3 linked regions of the Cricetulus griseus genome follow. The protein of the gene in region 1 purifies or fractionates together with the protein of each later gene. This does not show direct contact. Links are inferred from orthologs where the notes say so. Each region holds a gene or a part of one and is shown on either strand. Other genes may lie near its edges.

Region 1 (5,101 bases):
GCAATGATAACATTTTCCCCTCAGAATATGATCACAGTGATAAAAAGGACTTTGAAAGCCATATGAACCCTGCAAAGATTTGACAGCATTGATGTAAAGCCCAGGCTTAACCAGCTAACTCCAGCACCAGTGAGAAGACCAACAGGCTGACTTTGAACATTTCATATGGCCAAGATGATATGAAAAGAGAGCTTCTGCTCAAAATGGCTGTTAGCCACCACTTGTCCCAGTATCGAGGGGGCACCGCACTCAGTGCCACCATGTAGTAATGCAGTTGCAAGATCCACACATGAGATAAAAGACTACGTTAAAAGCTGCCTTCCTCAAAGTGTAGCAAACTCAGAACTCCACTAACTCTACCCTTTCCAAGATAGAATCCACAAATACTTACAGCTATATAACATGTGAAAGTCAAGTACAACTGTTGCATATTCAAATTAACTATCTCTGTCTTCCTAGAAAAGGCCTATTATTTAACATTAACCACATTTGAATTTTAAATGCAATTTGTTTCAAAACAACAACAACAACAAAAAGAAAACAGTCTTTGATCAGATAAAGAAAAAAAAGGCTTCCAGAAAAGCATACAACTTTGCACAAGGCAGTAGACAAGCCTCTCCTTTCAGAAGAATGAGTCTGTATGACATAATGATTAAATCCATAAAGTACTGTGTGTATCTGGAGTGCCATTTACTTTTTAAAATAAACTCAGAAAACATATCTCAACTGCAAAGCTCCAAAGCTCGATGTGGGGTGTTCCCACATGACCAGTGACTGCTTATTGATGCTACTGCATTGCCTCAGTGGTTCAAGCACATTTGGGTAGGAGAAAGATAAATACTGAGTGACATCTACCACACAAACTCTTAAAAAAACAAAAATGACCCAGAAAAGATTTAGGTTACTCAAAAAAATAAACTTTTTGGATGAAAATGATACAGGACTTAACACAGACTTTAAGCAGTTCTGTTCATTTCCATTTAGAAAGAGGCAAAAGTGGCACTTACTGGTGTAGCACAACCCCACTTTGAAGGCATGTTGTGTTCCGAGTGTGAAGGAGCAGGAGCCATACATAAATACAACTGCATCAATTGTGCCCCTCACGCCTACATGAGGTCATTTTTTTAGACTATAGAGTTTTAGGTGTTAGGTTAAGATCCTGAAAAACTATAAAACAGTACATTCAAAGTGAATCAAGGAAACTAGTGGTTCAGAGTCCTCTGAGAATGTACTAATCAGGAGTGAAAATCACAAGTGCTTCTTCATCTAAGCTGACAGACACTCCAGCTCCTTCACCTCACGGATGACCATCAGCACAGCAGCTCCCTAAAGGGCCAGCAGTCATCTTCTAAAAACAAGCTTTGTTAATAAAAACAAAAGTAGACTAGACAACATTCTGTAACTGTCCTGGGAAGAAGCATCCATAGTGCACGCAAAGGATCCCTGTGGCTGCCTCTGGGCCCAGAGGAACCCTGGGAAGCTCTCAATTAACCACATTCCACTGCAGCACGAGGAAGCAGCATCCTCCGTTCGTTCTCAGTGAGGTAGAACAACCGGCCTCCCAAACACACCCAGGAGCAGATATGAAGAGAGCAGAGTTCCCTCGAAGCTTCGGTTACATTTTGATGCCTTCCTGTTGGCTGAGCTGTGACAATGTTTTTTTAATTCGCAAAGCTGTCAGCCTAGCTGCTCCATTGGCATACCAACATTCTCTCATAATTTTAGCCATCACTCTCAAGGCCTACAAGAAAATATAAGAAAAATAATTAATACATACATACCATTTGCCATTAATCTAGGAAGAACATCCCTCTAAGACTTTGTAAAAAAAAAAAATATGTATAAGGTTCCTATTCTAGCTTTGTAGTAGCAAATGCAGATTTAAGGTTCCATCAATATCCAGATGCCAGCAGCTGGAAAGGCTTTGGACAGGGGAGCTTTCTTAGATCTCAAAAGGCTGAATCCTGAATCAGCACTGAGCCAAAGAAATGACCCACACTGCTACCTTAGACACTGGGTGAGAACTTAACTCATTTTTAAGTACTTTAGAGACAACTGAGGGTGGAAAGTAGGAAGAAGTACTGGAACCCCAGCACTTGTCCACTCCAACATTTCACAGCTAGGAGTCCGTTAGCCACCATCCCAGCACAAGGCTTGAGGGTTTTTATCCAAGAAAGACTATCTCTATCACTATATTACCAAGGCTGGCTCTATAGCCCAGGCAAGACTTGAACTTGTGACCTTCCTGCTGGCTTCCTGATCAGCTAGGATTAGAGGCCTATGCCAGCAAGCTTAGCCAGTTCCATACTCTTACATGTTTCAATGAAGGCTTTTATAATTTATTTTTATTTTATATTCATTGGTGTTTTGCCTGCAAGTATGTCTTTATGTGGGAATTAGATCCCCTGGAAGAGGAGTTACAGACAGCTGTGAGCTGCCCTGTTGGTGCTGGGAACAGAACCCCAGTCTTCTGGGAGAGCAGCCAGTGCTCTTAACCGCTTAGTCATTTGAAATAGCAATAAGTACACAGAAAACTAGTAACCATATTGAGAAAATAACATACAATGATGGCATTAATCAGCATACTGTAATGGTAACTGTGCACTGTACATGTTCTTAATGTTAACCAATTTCTTCCTGCCTAAAGGCCATCTGTCTTTAACTGCTTCAGTTATTAAATATGTGTGTGTGTGTGTGTGTGTGTGTGTGTGTGTGTGTGTGTGTGTGTGTGTGTGTGTGTACTTCAAGTCCGAGTTCTCAAGTACCCAGAGATAATTTTACCCAAAGCACACCCTCATCTGTCAAGTTCTATCACATGAAGATCCTGAACACACTCAGCTTGCTCCTCTCTGGGTCTACACATTACATTTTGCTTGAGGTGTCGTACAAATTTTTTTTTTTACTCTAAGAAAATCTTAAGGAAAAGGAAAGCAGCCTTTCTCTTTAGGCTTGCTTTCCCCATGCATTAACATTTGGGCATGTGTCCTACCTGGACATTTTTTCTAGGAATGTTTATGTTTGGTATTTTTCCAACAATAAACAGTAGAACTTTGTAGAAATTACAAAAGTACGTGAGGGACTTCTAAAATCACAAAATACCACCGTGGTATAATTCCTTGGGGCCCCATGAAGAGCTCTAACATTGTTGCTATTTTGAGACAGGGTTTCATGAAGCCCAGGTTGGCCAGAAGCTGGCTGAAGTTAAGTTCGAATTCCTGTTCTTCCTGCTTTTACCTCTGGAATACTGGACTAAAAGACCTGTGTACCACTACCCTGCCTTAAAGTGGTATTGGGGAGCAATCCCTGGACCTCAGGTATGCCAATCTTGCACTCTACCAACTCAGTCACACCTGAGGGAGCACACTGATGTCAGTGGAGAACTTCTGAGGTGTCCAACTCTTCTTTCTTTTTCTGAAAGTTCATCTACAAAACATCAAGTCTGGAAGGCACATCCTGCTGCACTATCATCCTAGTAACAGCTGTCAATAGAACCTGTACCCAGACTGTTGGAAAGTACCCCCTCCCTCCCTCCTGAGGAGTAGTCCTACTGAATCCTAGGAATACAGGTCATACATCTGAAGCTCTGCAAGACCGTACTGAAGCTCCTCACCTTACAAAGGGTGCTAAGCTCCAGAGAACTGATGCAGCCTGCCCACATCTGAGTCTGAAAGGACCCAAGCCTGCATTGACAGTCCTCTACATTCTTGCCCAGTGTTTGTCATAGTGCTTGGGCTACATTGGCTAAAGGGAGGCATTCATTTCAACAGCAGGCACTTGACTTCATATGGCAGATCTAACAATGTCCAGACACCACTGACCACTGCAAATGTTTCATGGCCCTTTTTATAGTCTCAAGAAACAAATTATTCTATTTTTACTTATTTGTTTATGAAAAAGAAAAAGAAACCAAGAATTTTTCCTTATAGAAGAGTGACAAATTTCTGCCTCCTAAGTAGAAACAGTTTAGTAAATAGCCTAGTATCAAAAGGAAACACTCACTTCACAGCTCTGCCATCTGTTGGGAATATTTGGCCTTAACTTCTGTTCACAAACTACTTTTCTCATTTCTTCAACTGATGGATCAGAAGGTACAAGATCATAATAAGGCAGCTGATAGTCTTCATGAATTCCTGTATTGGTTAAAACAAAATCCAAATTAATCAGCTCCTGCCACATCACTGGAAGGATTACTTGAGAGGCTCATTACTGTGGCCCATCTCTACATCCAGTAGGTGAAGTGAGGTTCACAAATTTATGTATCTCACCCACATCTGCATCAATAACCCACCTACTTGAGTCATCACTGGGCTTGCAATTTTTGTGAAGGATAGTGTTGTCAACTTGACAAAATCTACCAATCACCTGGAAGACAGACCCGTGGGCATGCCTGTGAGGGATTATTTTGATTGGGAGGACACATCTTAACTATGGGCAGTACTACTTCATAGGCAAGGGATCCTGGAGTGTATAAATAGAGAAAGCAAGCCGAGCACCAGCATGCACTCACTGCTCTCTGCTGCTTGACTGTGGATGTCATGTGACCAGCTCCCTCAAGCTTCTGCCACTGTGACTTCCCTCTATGGTAGCTGTAACTTGGAACCACGGGCCCTTCCTCCCTTAGAATGCCTTTGCCGGAGCATTGTACTACAGCAATGGAAAAGAAATCAAGGCCATTTTGAACCTAGTGTGCTGTGATAACCAGGCTGACACTCTTGACTACAACTCCACCAGACAGAAGATGCGGATATACTCTTATTAGGAGATGTGAATCCCACAAGTCCCTTCCTCTGCTTGTGCCTGTTAATCTGATGTCCTATGCTATAACACCAAGCATACTCTATACATCACTGTCTCAAACTTTCAAGTTCTAAGTCTCACACAGATTCCTAAGCCTAAGAGACAGTGTCTGAGCAAACACTGACAAGTTCTCAGTCTAATATAAAACCAAAAGTTAAAACAAAATCTACAAAGTACGCAACATTAATAATGCAATTGTCATTATATGTCTAAGGATCCTCAACAATCAAGCTGGAGAAAACAACCAGTGTTAAAAAAAAAAAAAAAAAAGATGTAGCTGAGTCCATACTAAAAGCAATTTCTC
Region 2 (5,655 bases), on another chromosome or scaffold:
TGCAATCTCAAAAGGAAGAAAACATTTTTGAATGAAACAGAACTCAAAGTGTTGCAAAACTTCACTAAAATGGTGATTATTTTTCTTTAAACAATAAAACATAAATTAAAAACTAGGTATGGTGGCACATTCCTTTGATCACAGCACTTGGGAGGCAGAGGCAGGCAGATCTAAGTGAGTTTGAGGTCAGCCTGGTCTACAAATCAAGTTCCAGGAAAGCCAGGACTGTGAGAAAAAAAACTGAGAGCTACAGAGAGATGGCTTATCAGTTAAGAGCACTGGCTGGCTGTTCTTGCAAAGGTTCGACTCCCTGCACCCACAAAGCAGTCCACAACCACCTGTAACTCCAGTTCCAAGTACCCAGTGTGATATCTGGCCTCCACAGTCACCAGGCACACACATGGTACACCAACATACATGCAGGCAAAATATTCATACACATAAAATAAAAATTTAAAATGATACTGAAAACTCAAAAGAATAAAAACTGGACACATTCTAAATTTGTGAAGAAATAATTCAGAAACTACAGGAAAGTTGGGCGTGCTAGTAAACACCTGTAATCCCAGCACTCAAGGAGGCTGGTGGGAAAGAGACTGGAGACAAACTGACTGACTGACTGACTGACTGAATAGAGGAAGAAAAGAAAGGAAAGAAGAGAAATCAGAGTACTAGAAGAAACAAGATTTAAAGCAAGAAACATCAGGACTGTCAAATGATTATTTTGTGTGCATATAGATGGAGGTCAGAGGTTGAAGTGAGGTATTTACCTCATTATCCACCTTATTTTTTGGTGGACATGGAGCACACTTATGTGGCTAGACTAGCTGACACCAGTAAGCCCTAGTATTTCTAGGGCTTAGTTCCCAGAACTAAGATTACAGGTTAGTGTGCTGTGCCTGTTTTTTGTTGTTGTTTTTTTTTTTTTTTTTTTTCCCCTAAAGTGCCAGGAATCCAAACTCTGATTATTATGCTGACATAGCAAGCACTTACCAACTTTAGCCTTCTCCTCAGCCCCAGATTATTATTCCTGGGACTAAATCTCATCAGCTTCAAATAGCTTTAAAATGTTTTTTATTTATTTGTTTGTGTATTGTGTGTCTGCATGAGTTTATGGCATCACATGCAATAGGTGTCCATGGAGGCCTAAAGAGTGTTGGATCCATGGGAGCTCAAGATACATGCAATCTTGGGCCACCAAATGTGGGTACTAGGAACTAGATTCAGGTCCTCAGGACTCACTAGTAACAGAAGAGCCATCCCTCCAGCCCCCAACTGATTTTTTTTTTAAGATTTTATTTATTTATTATGTATACAGTCTTCTGCCTGCATGCCATCATAGAGCACCAGATCTCATTCAAGGTGGTTGTGAGCCACCATGTGGTTGCTGGGAATTGAACTCAGGACCTCTTGAAAAGCAGTCAGTGCTCTTAACCGATAAGCCATCTCTCCAGCCCCCCCCAACTGATTTTTTGTAAGTGCTTTTTATATATACTGTTTAATGCTTTCAAAGCAACATCTTATATTTGTAACTCTGAAAGGGAGGATTATCAATATGTGATCTGAAAATGGTAATTTTATTCACTTGTATAAGTAAATTATTTTCATACTCTCTAGTCTTCATTGTACTGCTCTTGTTTCTTGAAAATCTACTTCAGAGATTAGAACCACAGCTCTCTGGCTTTTTCCATCTTCAGTACATTAATTATGGGAGAATTACTCCATAACCGTTCAAAGAATTCATGAATTTCAATATGACAAACTCCTGATTATGCAACTATTATTATGCAACCTTTGCCTAAGGAAGTATGTTTCTGAGGAATTTGTATATATGTTTTTAATCTATCATTTTTTGGTAACAGAACTATGTAAAATATAACCAAGACTGTTTAATTCTTGTTTTCTAAATGTTTCTCAAGAGAGACATTTACACACAATGTTAAGAGTGACATAGCAGGAGAGGGCCAATAGTTCAGACTTACTCCTATCCATCTTTAACATTTAGTAAACTTCTTATTGGAATAATATAAACAAAGGACACAGAAATGCTGATTGATTAAATTTTCACTAATTTTAATTAACACATTGCACTAGCTTCAGATATTATGCAATTATGTGCTAATTTTAATCAATGATAGCTACAAATGTAGCATATTAATACTATAGTACTACCACTGAAGTCCATTAGAGACAATGTCTCTAATGAGCCTAGAGCTGCATACAGATTAAATCTGCTATAGTACTTTGATAATGTTTAATATTCATCTCAAATTCCTCAAAGTGTTTCTATTCTTAAATCTGTACTTCCCAAAGTTGTTCTAGCTAGTCCATCTACCTCCTCTAAAGAAATAATAAGGTAACCAAATTAAGGAAAGTTGTATGATAGTTAATCGCCATTGTGAATTTTATTGGGTTTAGAGTTACCTAGGAGTAGGTGGGGCACACCTGTATATGTTTGTGAGATGGTTTCTAGAGAGGACTCATTAAGGAGAAAGATCAAACTAGATGTGGCTGGCATCAATCCATGAGCTTAGAACACTGGCGGTAAAAAAGAAAAGCCACCAAAATGCCCCGTCCCTGTGCTCTGCTTCCTGGCCCACCATGATGTGAGCTTCTCTGCTGTACTAAGTCCTCATACAATGTTGAGACTGACATCTCAGAAACCAAGAGCCAAAATAATCCTTCCTCCTTTAAGTTGCCCCTGCCCCAGCTATGATTTAAGTAACTAATAGAATAGTATGCTAATAATGTCTCTACATTTCACATGGATAGGGGTATAACCTTCTTGATATGCTTATAGAGAACAGAATAAACCAATTAATAATCAATTCTTTTTTACTGAGACAGTCTCACTGAGTTGCCTTGGCTGGCCTCTAACTCCTCATACAAACTAGGCTGGCCTCAAACTCAGAGATCTACCTGCCTCTGCCTCCTGAGTACTAACATTAAAGGCATGCGCCACAAGGCCTAGTTTCATTCTTTCATTTGACATTTCCTGAGTACTCACTTTATGCCAAGTACTATCATAGGTTCTGCAGATAAAGATACAACTCAATTATCATACCATAAATACCTTTTTTTTTTTGAGGGAGAAATTAGAATCCTTTTATGTAACCCTGCTGTGCTCAAAATCAAGATCTAGGGATTGGAGAAATGAACCAGCGGATAAGTGCACCTCTCTGGTCCTGCAGAGCACCAGAATTCAGTTCCCAGCATCATCCACAAGGTGCCTCATAACTACTTGAACTCCAGTTCCAGGAAATCTGATGCTCTTTTCTGACCTCTCTAGGCTTTCTACATATACACACTATACATACATACCTACACACACACACACACACACACACACACACACACACACACACACACTCAACACATGCACACATATACATAAAGTAAAATAAATATTTTTTTTATAAACCAAGATCCAGGTTTTTATAAACCTGCTTCAAATTCCTGAGTGCTGGGATCATAGGAATAGGCCACTACATTGGCTACAAATGTCTTCTGTTATTTTTGCAAGAAATGTTTTTAAATTTTTTCCAAAAATAACAACAAAAATCTTTTTATATGTATTTGAAGTAGTAACTGGAAAAAACACTTGTGGAAGGGCGGCTACCACACTGTGGGTTAAGTCACTAGTTTCTTTTTTTATTAGAAAGAAGTTGCCTACCTGCAACAAGCATCTGTAATAGTATCAGTGCAATGCCCAGCGGTAGTAACAGAATGGTAACAGAATGGAATGCCCTGCTGTTCTCGTAAGTTGTACTCATAATGAATGGTTGTCTGTGCTTAATTTCAATAAAGCTCCCAACTGCTCATTATATCCTTGCCAAAAATTCCCCTTCCTCCTCCAGACTGCAGTTGCATTCCAATTACAATGCACACTGGAATGAAGCTGTTCAAAGGGGGTAGAGGGAGATAGTCAGATATCCTTCTTTTCTTTGCTCCCAAACAAACAAACTTTCACAATACTGTTCCTGTAACTCAAAAGTTACAGAGAATATTTTAGCCAACATATTTTTCTGCACGTTCTTCAAACTTACGTTGGCACTGTAAAAAGTTAACATGGAAGTCCAGTTTAACACCTCTAAATGAAATCCCAACAAGCTGGCCCAGGCTCCAAAAAATATGCTTCTGTGCACCATTCCTTACCACTGACACATGACAGCAGCAGTTTAGAATTGCCACATGTTATTACAGGAGCTTAGACTATAGCTCTATTGACAGAAGCCTGTGTAGCACATTCAGGGCCCTGGATTCCATCCCCAGCACCACATAAACGAGGTGCGGTAGTATATGTCTATCCACAGAACTAGAGAGACCAAGACTGAAGGAACTGAAGTTTAAGTCTACATAAAAAGTTTGGGGTAACATGGTCTACATAAGGCCCTATCTCTAAAAAAAGAAAAAGATAATATAGGACTTTGTAATAAGCAAAAGTATCAAATACAAATCTAAACACATACATACATTTTGGAGAACTACTTGAAAGTATTTCACTACACATAATTTCTTAGATTTATTCATTTTCATTATGTGTATATGTGCTATACATGTGTGCATGCAAGTGCATGCAGAGTTATAGAAGAGGGCATTGGATTCTGCTGGAGATGAAGTTACACGTCCTTTTGAGTCTCCCAGTTTGGACCACACTGGAGTCCTTGAAAAGAGCATCAAGTGCTCTTAACCACTGAATCACCTCTCCAGCCACTCAGCTATGAATTTCAAACCAGTTTATTTTGTTGGTGGTGGTTTTATGTTTTGTTTTGTTTTGTTTTTTTAAGACAGGGTTTCTCTGTGTGGCCCTGGCTGTCCTGGAACTCACTTTGTAGACCAGGTTGACCTGAAACTCACAGAGAGCTGCCTGCCTCTGCATCCAGAGTGCTGGCATTAAAGGCATGAGCCATTACCACCCAGCTTTAAATCATTATTTCTATGAATTATTTTCTCCAACTTAAAAATGAAAATATATATGTACACTGTTTTAGTTACATCAATTCCCTTGTATTCTGTGTAGGGGCCAAACACTGTTCTATCAGTTACTATTTGTGCTGGCTAGTTTTATATAAACTTGCCACAAGCTAAAGTCATCACAGAGTAGGAACCTCAATTAAGAAACTGCCTTCAACTGGGAGCACACCTTTAATTCCAGCACTCAGGAGGCAGCCTGGTCTACAAAGCAAGTTCCAGGACAGCCAGAATTATAGAGAATAACCCTGTTTTGAAAGGGGGTGGGAGAAAAGGGAGAGGGGAAAGAGGGGGGAGGGAGGGAAAGAAAAGCAAAAAAAAAAAAAAAAAAAAAGCCTCCAGAAGAGAGGGCTGCAGGCAAGCTTGTAAGGTATTTTCTTAATTCGTGATTGATGGGGGAGGGCACAATCCATTGTGGGTGGGACCACCCCCGGGCTGGTGGTCATGAGGAGCAAGCCAGTAAGCAGCATCCTTCCAAGGCCTCTGCATCATTTCCTGCCTCCATGTCCCTGCCCTCGCTTGAGTTCCTGTCCTGACTTCCTTTGATGATGAATTAAGATGTGGAAGCATATGACAAATAAACCCTTTTCTCCCCAAGTTGCTTTGGTCATGGTGTTTCATCACAGCAACCGTAACCCTAAGACACTATTCCAAACTCAACCACTTCCTCTGCTAGAAGTCTTC
Region 3 (5,570 bases), on another chromosome or scaffold:
GTGTGTGATCCCCCACCTTCTTTTTTTCTTGAGACAGTCTCTGGCATGTGCTGCCATGGGGCTCCCCCGTTCACTGAGGCTAGCTAGCCAATAAGCCCCAGAGATCCTACTGTCTTTCCCTCTCCATGGCTAGGATCACTCAAACTCACCAGCACACCTTGTCCTTGAGGCTGGAGATGCTGAACAGTTAAGAACACTTGTTGTGGGGCTGGAGAAATGGCTCAGTGGTTAGAGTACCTTCTGGTGTTCCAGAAGACCCAGAATTCAATTCCCAGAACCCACATGGCAGCTCACAAGTGTCTGTGACTACTGTTCCAGGGGCTTTGACACCATTACACAGTCTTCACACTAATGCACTAAAATAAAATTAAATAAATTATGTACACAAAAGAGTATTTGTTGCTCTTCCAGAGGACCTGAGTTCAGTTCCCAGTACCCTCACATGGTAGTTCACAACCACTCGTTTCAGATCCAGCACCCTCTGATGTACATATAAACACACATGCAAAACACTCATATGTAGATTAAAAAATATCTAAAACCCCCACAAGACTCAGTTTTTCATGCTTGCACAACAAACACTTTATCAATGGAGCTATCATACCAACCCTCATCAAAGACTCTTAAATGGATTTATTCTGACCTAGGGTCTCAATCTCAATGACAGCTGCCTAGAAAATGAGACAGAGCTAGCGTCTGGATTAACTGTTGCTCATATACTGTTCCTTTTCTTAGACAATTCACTACAGCTATTTGAAACTCTGGGCTGCACAGGGTCATAGAAACAAAACAAACCACTAGGGTAAGGCCAGGTGGGTTGTGGTACAGGCTGGTAATCAGGAAGCTGAGGCAGGAGGATCACAAGTTCGAGGCCAGCTTGGTCTAAAAATGAGCCTCTGTCTCCAAAGAGGGTGGCTAAGTGCTGTGGGTAACAGGGCTAAGGAAGCCACATAAACTCTGTCTATGAAAAGAATTAGGTTCATATCAGATGTGAGTTAGGTAAACATACCCAGCCTTTTCAAGAACGTTTTATTTCCTCTCTAGAATGTGTTACCATAGAGATGGGTTTGCTTGCTGGGGAAAACACAGCTTTTACTTTTTTACCTGCCTGCCTCTCTAGGGGCGCACACGCGCGCGGGGTGTGTGTGTTTCACCCGAAGGCAGGGAATCGCAAATCCCACTGCTTACCTTCCTAGGTTAGTTTAATTGCATGCAGGTCCCTAACCACAAAACCACACACCTCTCCAGTTTACATCACTCATCTAGTTTAGCTGGTCCATATGCCTCACTTCCTGAGGGTCTAGCCACTTTGTCAATCGAATACACCAGTTGCACAGGGCACACCCGATCATTGTGGAAAGTCCTCTCTTGGAACTTGCAGGATCTAAACGTTATTTTCTCAAAAATGATATCGCGTGCCCGTGGGCGCACGCGCGCAAGGTGCTTGGGGTTTCACACAATCCTCTGGCTTCCATCAGGAAAAAGTCCGACTCTAGAAAAATAATTCGATTTCCCAAATCGTTGCACAAGCAAATCAGTTCGTTCCGAGATTGTGGCTAAGAAGTGCTCCGCGAGCGGGATGTCTGTTTCAAGAATCTCCACGGGCTGCAGAAACCTAGTAGCTCCCTGAACCTTCGCGTGCGCGCCCAGGACGAACGCTGTCGGCGTAGCGCCGTGCTCCTCGGGCGCGCGCACGCATGCACGCACGCAAGCGCGGGGCCGCGCAGGGCCGGGCCGGCACGGCGACGGGCGCGCGCAGCTCGGGAGGCGGCGGCGGAAGCAGCGAGGGCGGCGGGCGTCCGGCTGCGAGCGCGGCGGCTCCGGGCTGGCGGCCAGGGGCGGCTCCGGGCGGCGGCGCAGCCGAGCGCTCCGTCCTGCGGCTCCAGCCCGCGGCTCCCGTCCGACGCCTGCGCCGCTCACTCGGCGTCCCGGCTCGGACCCCGGCACCCCAGCCCGTGGCCGTAACCTTGAGGCGGCGGCGGGGCCGGGCCGGGCCGGCTGGGGGCGGCGGCGCTGGATCCAAGGCCGGCCGGCCGCTGGCGGGAGATGTCGAACCCCGGGACGCGTAGGAACGGCTCTAGCATCAAGATCCGTCTGACAGGTAGGCACTACAGGGCCGCGGCCCTCGCGCCCCCAGGCGGTCCCAGGGACCTCGAGGACTCCCACCCCGCCGCACCGGCCGTTGTCCCGGGACCGCCGCACCCCCCACGGCGTGCGCCCCTCGCTCCCTTTCCCGGCCCCGCCCCCCCGGCTGCTCTGCAGGCGCCGCCCCCGCCGCCCAGTACCCTCCCTCTGCATCAGGCCCCACCCCCGGCCATCAGGCCCCGCCCGCTGCGGCAGCCCCGCCCTCTTGCATCTAGCCCCGCCCCTATTGATCCGCAGATCCTCCCCCTTTCGTAACCAGGTTCAGCCCTCGACTGTTCTGCAGACTCCCGCCCCCTCCCCCCACAGGCTCCACCTCTTTACTTTGTAGCCTTGGTGCCCCGCCCTCTGGCTCCTCCCTCTGCATTATTCCCCGCCTGCTAATTTCTCTGCAGTTGGTTTTTTCTGCTTCAAGCCCTACTTGCTGTTCATCCTTCTGTCGGGCTCCACCCCCAACCCCCGCTGATCCTCGGTAGGTACTGCCTCCGGCTCCTCCCTCTTTATCAGGTCCTCCCCTCACCGTTCACACTCTGCCCACACCTACCGTCATTTGCATATGGGCCCCGCCCCCTAACTGCCTCCCTCTGCCCCTAACCTTACCCCTCTGCTTCAGGTCCCGCCCCCTAGCTCCCCTCTCCAGGACCATCCCCTAGCTCTCCTTTCTGCCCTACCCCTACCCTCAGCTGCATAGAGGTCCCGCCCCTCGGGGTCCCCCACCGGCTCTCTTGTGACCCTCTCTATATCCTGCCCCAGGCACCCTCTGTCCCACATCTGCCCCTCCCTGCTCTTCTCCAGGCCTTGTGCCTGGCTCCCTCAGCTCCACACCCACTTTCAACTTCATGTAGGTCCCGCCCCCTCGCTGCACCTTTTGCTCTTCCCACCCTCACCTCAGATTTTCATCATCCATTTCTTCACTCACCATCCTCCTACCTGCTATCCCTCTCTAGTCCCACACCTTACTACCCTCCCACCTGTCTGCTGTCTTTTTCCCTTGTAGCTTCTCATCTCTTCGCCTCCTTTCTTCCTTCACCACTGTGTTCTCTGACCTTCTCACTTCTCCCTCCTGGTATCCCGAGAATCGCCCCCCCCCCCCCCACTGGCCTGCTTTGATCCTCTCTTTGCTCTCCTACCTCCTCACTCCCTCCCCATCTCCATCTTTCTAGGGGCCTTCCCCCCTCTTGGCCCCGCCCCCTCCGCTGCCCAAGCCCCTCCCCTTGTTTCTGTCTGATCCCGCCCTCGATTATCTTTCAGTCCCGCCCCCTCGCTTCTGTCTTACAGCCTCCACCCTTGAGTCGCAAATTCCTCAAGCCTGTCTGGGACCAAACGTCTGTCTCCCAGACTTGTTCTCACTCCCCCCCACCTCTTCAATGGTCCAGACCTCTCCAGTCTAGTCCACTTCCGTTCTCCCTGAGGCCTGGCCACTTAGCACTGCAGAGTCCCGGTCTTCGGTTCCTACCTCCTCTGCAGTGCCTTCGCCAACATCCCCCTCAGTGCCACATGCTTGAGTCCCTGTTGTGGCGCGATCCCCCACTCCCACACAAGCTGAGCTGTGGCAGCTGCTCCAGCACAGGTTCCTTGTTCCACTCCGAGTCTTCAGAGGAATTTTCAGGTTTCCTAGGTGCTCTGTAGTGCCACCTTCAAGGGTGAGCGCAAAGCTTGCTCTGGGTCTGACAGCAACAGTATTGTTTGCATAGAGGGAGAGGCGAGCTCTCTGTCATAGCTGCCCCACTTCATGGGTCCAGAGTCTGGACCACTGCCCCTGGTTTCCTCTTCCTTTCTCCCTCTCCTTTTCCTGCAGAGACCTTACCAGTTTGAATCCATCTCTAAAGCTGCATGGCAGGGCTGGCATAGGGCCTGCTCTGGGGCTTTCTAGCTCAGAAAAGGAAATAAACACTAAGTCTAAGGCCTTTCAGGGATTTCCCTGGATTTTTCTGTTCTGAGGCAGTGTGGTCAGAACTAAGGCTCTCTGCTTGTCCTTTTGGACTGAGCCTTTGGGTAAGGGCTGTGATCATGGTGGTATCTTCCCTGCCACGGTGGAAATTCTTGGAAAGTTTGTAGCCGATGAGTGTTCTGTTTAAGAAAAGATTGACATTTTTTTCTCTGGTGATGTCAGGTCAGATAATGATTTTTGAACTAGAACCCAGACCCTGGTCTTGTTGGACATCTTTGCCCCTGGACAAACAGCAGGTGACTGGAGAGAACTCTCACTGGGTGAATGTAGTGTATGACACTGTGTTGGCTGTTACTTTAGAAAGTTAGATTCTTTGCCAGTCATCCTTGTGAAAGTTTGCTCACTGGCACTGGGCCCTGATTTTAGTGATAATCCACATTGGTTTCAGCCTTCCTGTTAAATTGATGGACTTGGGGAGTTTTAGTCGAAATGAGATCAGTGGCGTTTGTGTCAGCTGTCTATTAACAGATCCTAGAGAACCAGGAAAGGGAGGCTTTCCCGGTCTGATTTTGGTGTTGAAGACTGAGGAGGCTCCAGAGTTTTTGGGTGGCCTTTGATGGGAAGGACCAGGGATGGGTGTCATCAATTGGTCTGAAAGAAGCTCTGAGTGTGCTCATAGGATTGGGAGTTGGTGGCAATATGTGGTGACAACTGTGTGAAAATCTTGGAGCCAGCCATTTTATTGAAGATGAGGTAGGTTTTGCCTTCATCTTTATACTGTTACAGGAAATGAGAATGGTGGGTAGCAATCTCTCTAAAGTTAAATATTGTTATGGTGTTTCAGCATTTATTATGTATTTGTATTTTGGGAAAATGACTTTTTAAAAATGAGAGCTATTGGGACTGGGGAGATGGCTCAGTCAGGAAAGTGCTTGACTGGCAAGCATAGGACTTGAGCTGGACCCCCAGCACCCACTGAAAAATTGAATGTGGCTGGCAGTGGTAGCTGGAGCCTCAATAGGTGAAAGGCCCGGTCTCAAAAAATAAGTGGATGGCTCCTGAGGAACAGCACCTGATATTAACCTCTGGCCTGCGTGCACACTTACGTGTCCCTGAATGTACACAAACCTGAATACATAAATAGAATTAAAAAAAAAAAAAAGAGGGCTGTTGTAACCTTGCAATGAAAAACACAGAACATCACACAGGCACTGGAGTGGTTAATGAGCATTGAGAACTTTGGGGTCTACAGTTGGCTTTGGGGAACAGAGCCTGTCAGATCAAGGTGCTTGGATCAGCCAGACTAGCAGTTCCTGACGTGCAGCCAATTAATTACCTTCTAGGGTCTTAGTTTCCTCTTTTTGATGAGACTTCAGCCCTGTAATAAACATCTGATCTCCTACACGATCCATCAGTGTGTAACCCTTACTTCCCATTGCCATTGGCCTGTGTGTAGGCTTTCTGTTCTCAACCCTGAGACTCAGAAATTTGTGTTAAAGGGTAGCACTTTTGTTTGATGTGTGTCAAGCCTTAATTT

What was found. The genes of interacting proteins can lie anywhere in the genome.
Region 2: the proteins of Tgfbr1 (region 1) and Smurf2 purify together in Homo sapiens (affinity purification with western blotting; 8 studies listed by BioGRID). This does not show direct contact. The link is inferred for Cricetulus griseus from reciprocal best matches to the Homo sapiens genes TGFBR1 and SMURF2.
Region 3: the proteins of Tgfbr1 (region 1) and Smurf1 purify together in Homo sapiens (affinity purification with western blotting; 3 studies listed by BioGRID). This does not show direct contact. The link is inferred for Cricetulus griseus from reciprocal best matches to the Homo sapiens genes TGFBR1 and SMURF1.

The regions. Positions count from the first base shown.
Region 1 is NC_048595.1:96,009,941-96,015,041, forward strand, and holds part of Tgfbr1 (TGF-beta receptor type-1), read right to left. Parts: intron 4,131-5,101; coding exon 4,000-4,130; intron 1,742-3,999; coding exon 1,616-1,741; 3' UTR 1-1,615. UniProt on the Homo sapiens protein: Transmembrane serine/threonine kinase forming with the TGF-beta type II serine/threonine kinase receptor, TGFBR2, the non-promiscuous receptor for the TGF-beta cytokines TGFB1, TGFB2 and TGFB3.
Region 2 is NC_048600.1:119,826,569-119,832,223, forward strand, and holds the start of Smurf2 (E3 ubiquitin-protein ligase SMURF2), read right to left. Parts: upstream 3,789-5,655; 5' UTR 3,774-3,788; coding exon 3,674-3,773; intron 1-3,673. UniProt on the Homo sapiens protein: E3 ubiquitin-protein ligase which accepts ubiquitin from an E2 ubiquitin-conjugating enzyme in the form of a thioester and then directly transfers the ubiquitin to targeted substrates.
Region 3 is NC_048597.1:81,372,337-81,377,906, reverse strand, and holds the start of Smurf1 (E3 ubiquitin-protein ligase SMURF1), read left to right. Parts: upstream 1-1,782; 5' UTR 1,783-2,046; coding exon 2,047-2,101; intron 2,102-5,570. UniProt on the Homo sapiens protein: E3 ubiquitin-protein ligase that acts as a negative regulator of BMP signaling pathway. Mediates ubiquitination and degradation of SMAD1 and SMAD5, 2 receptor-regulated SMADs specific for the BMP pathway.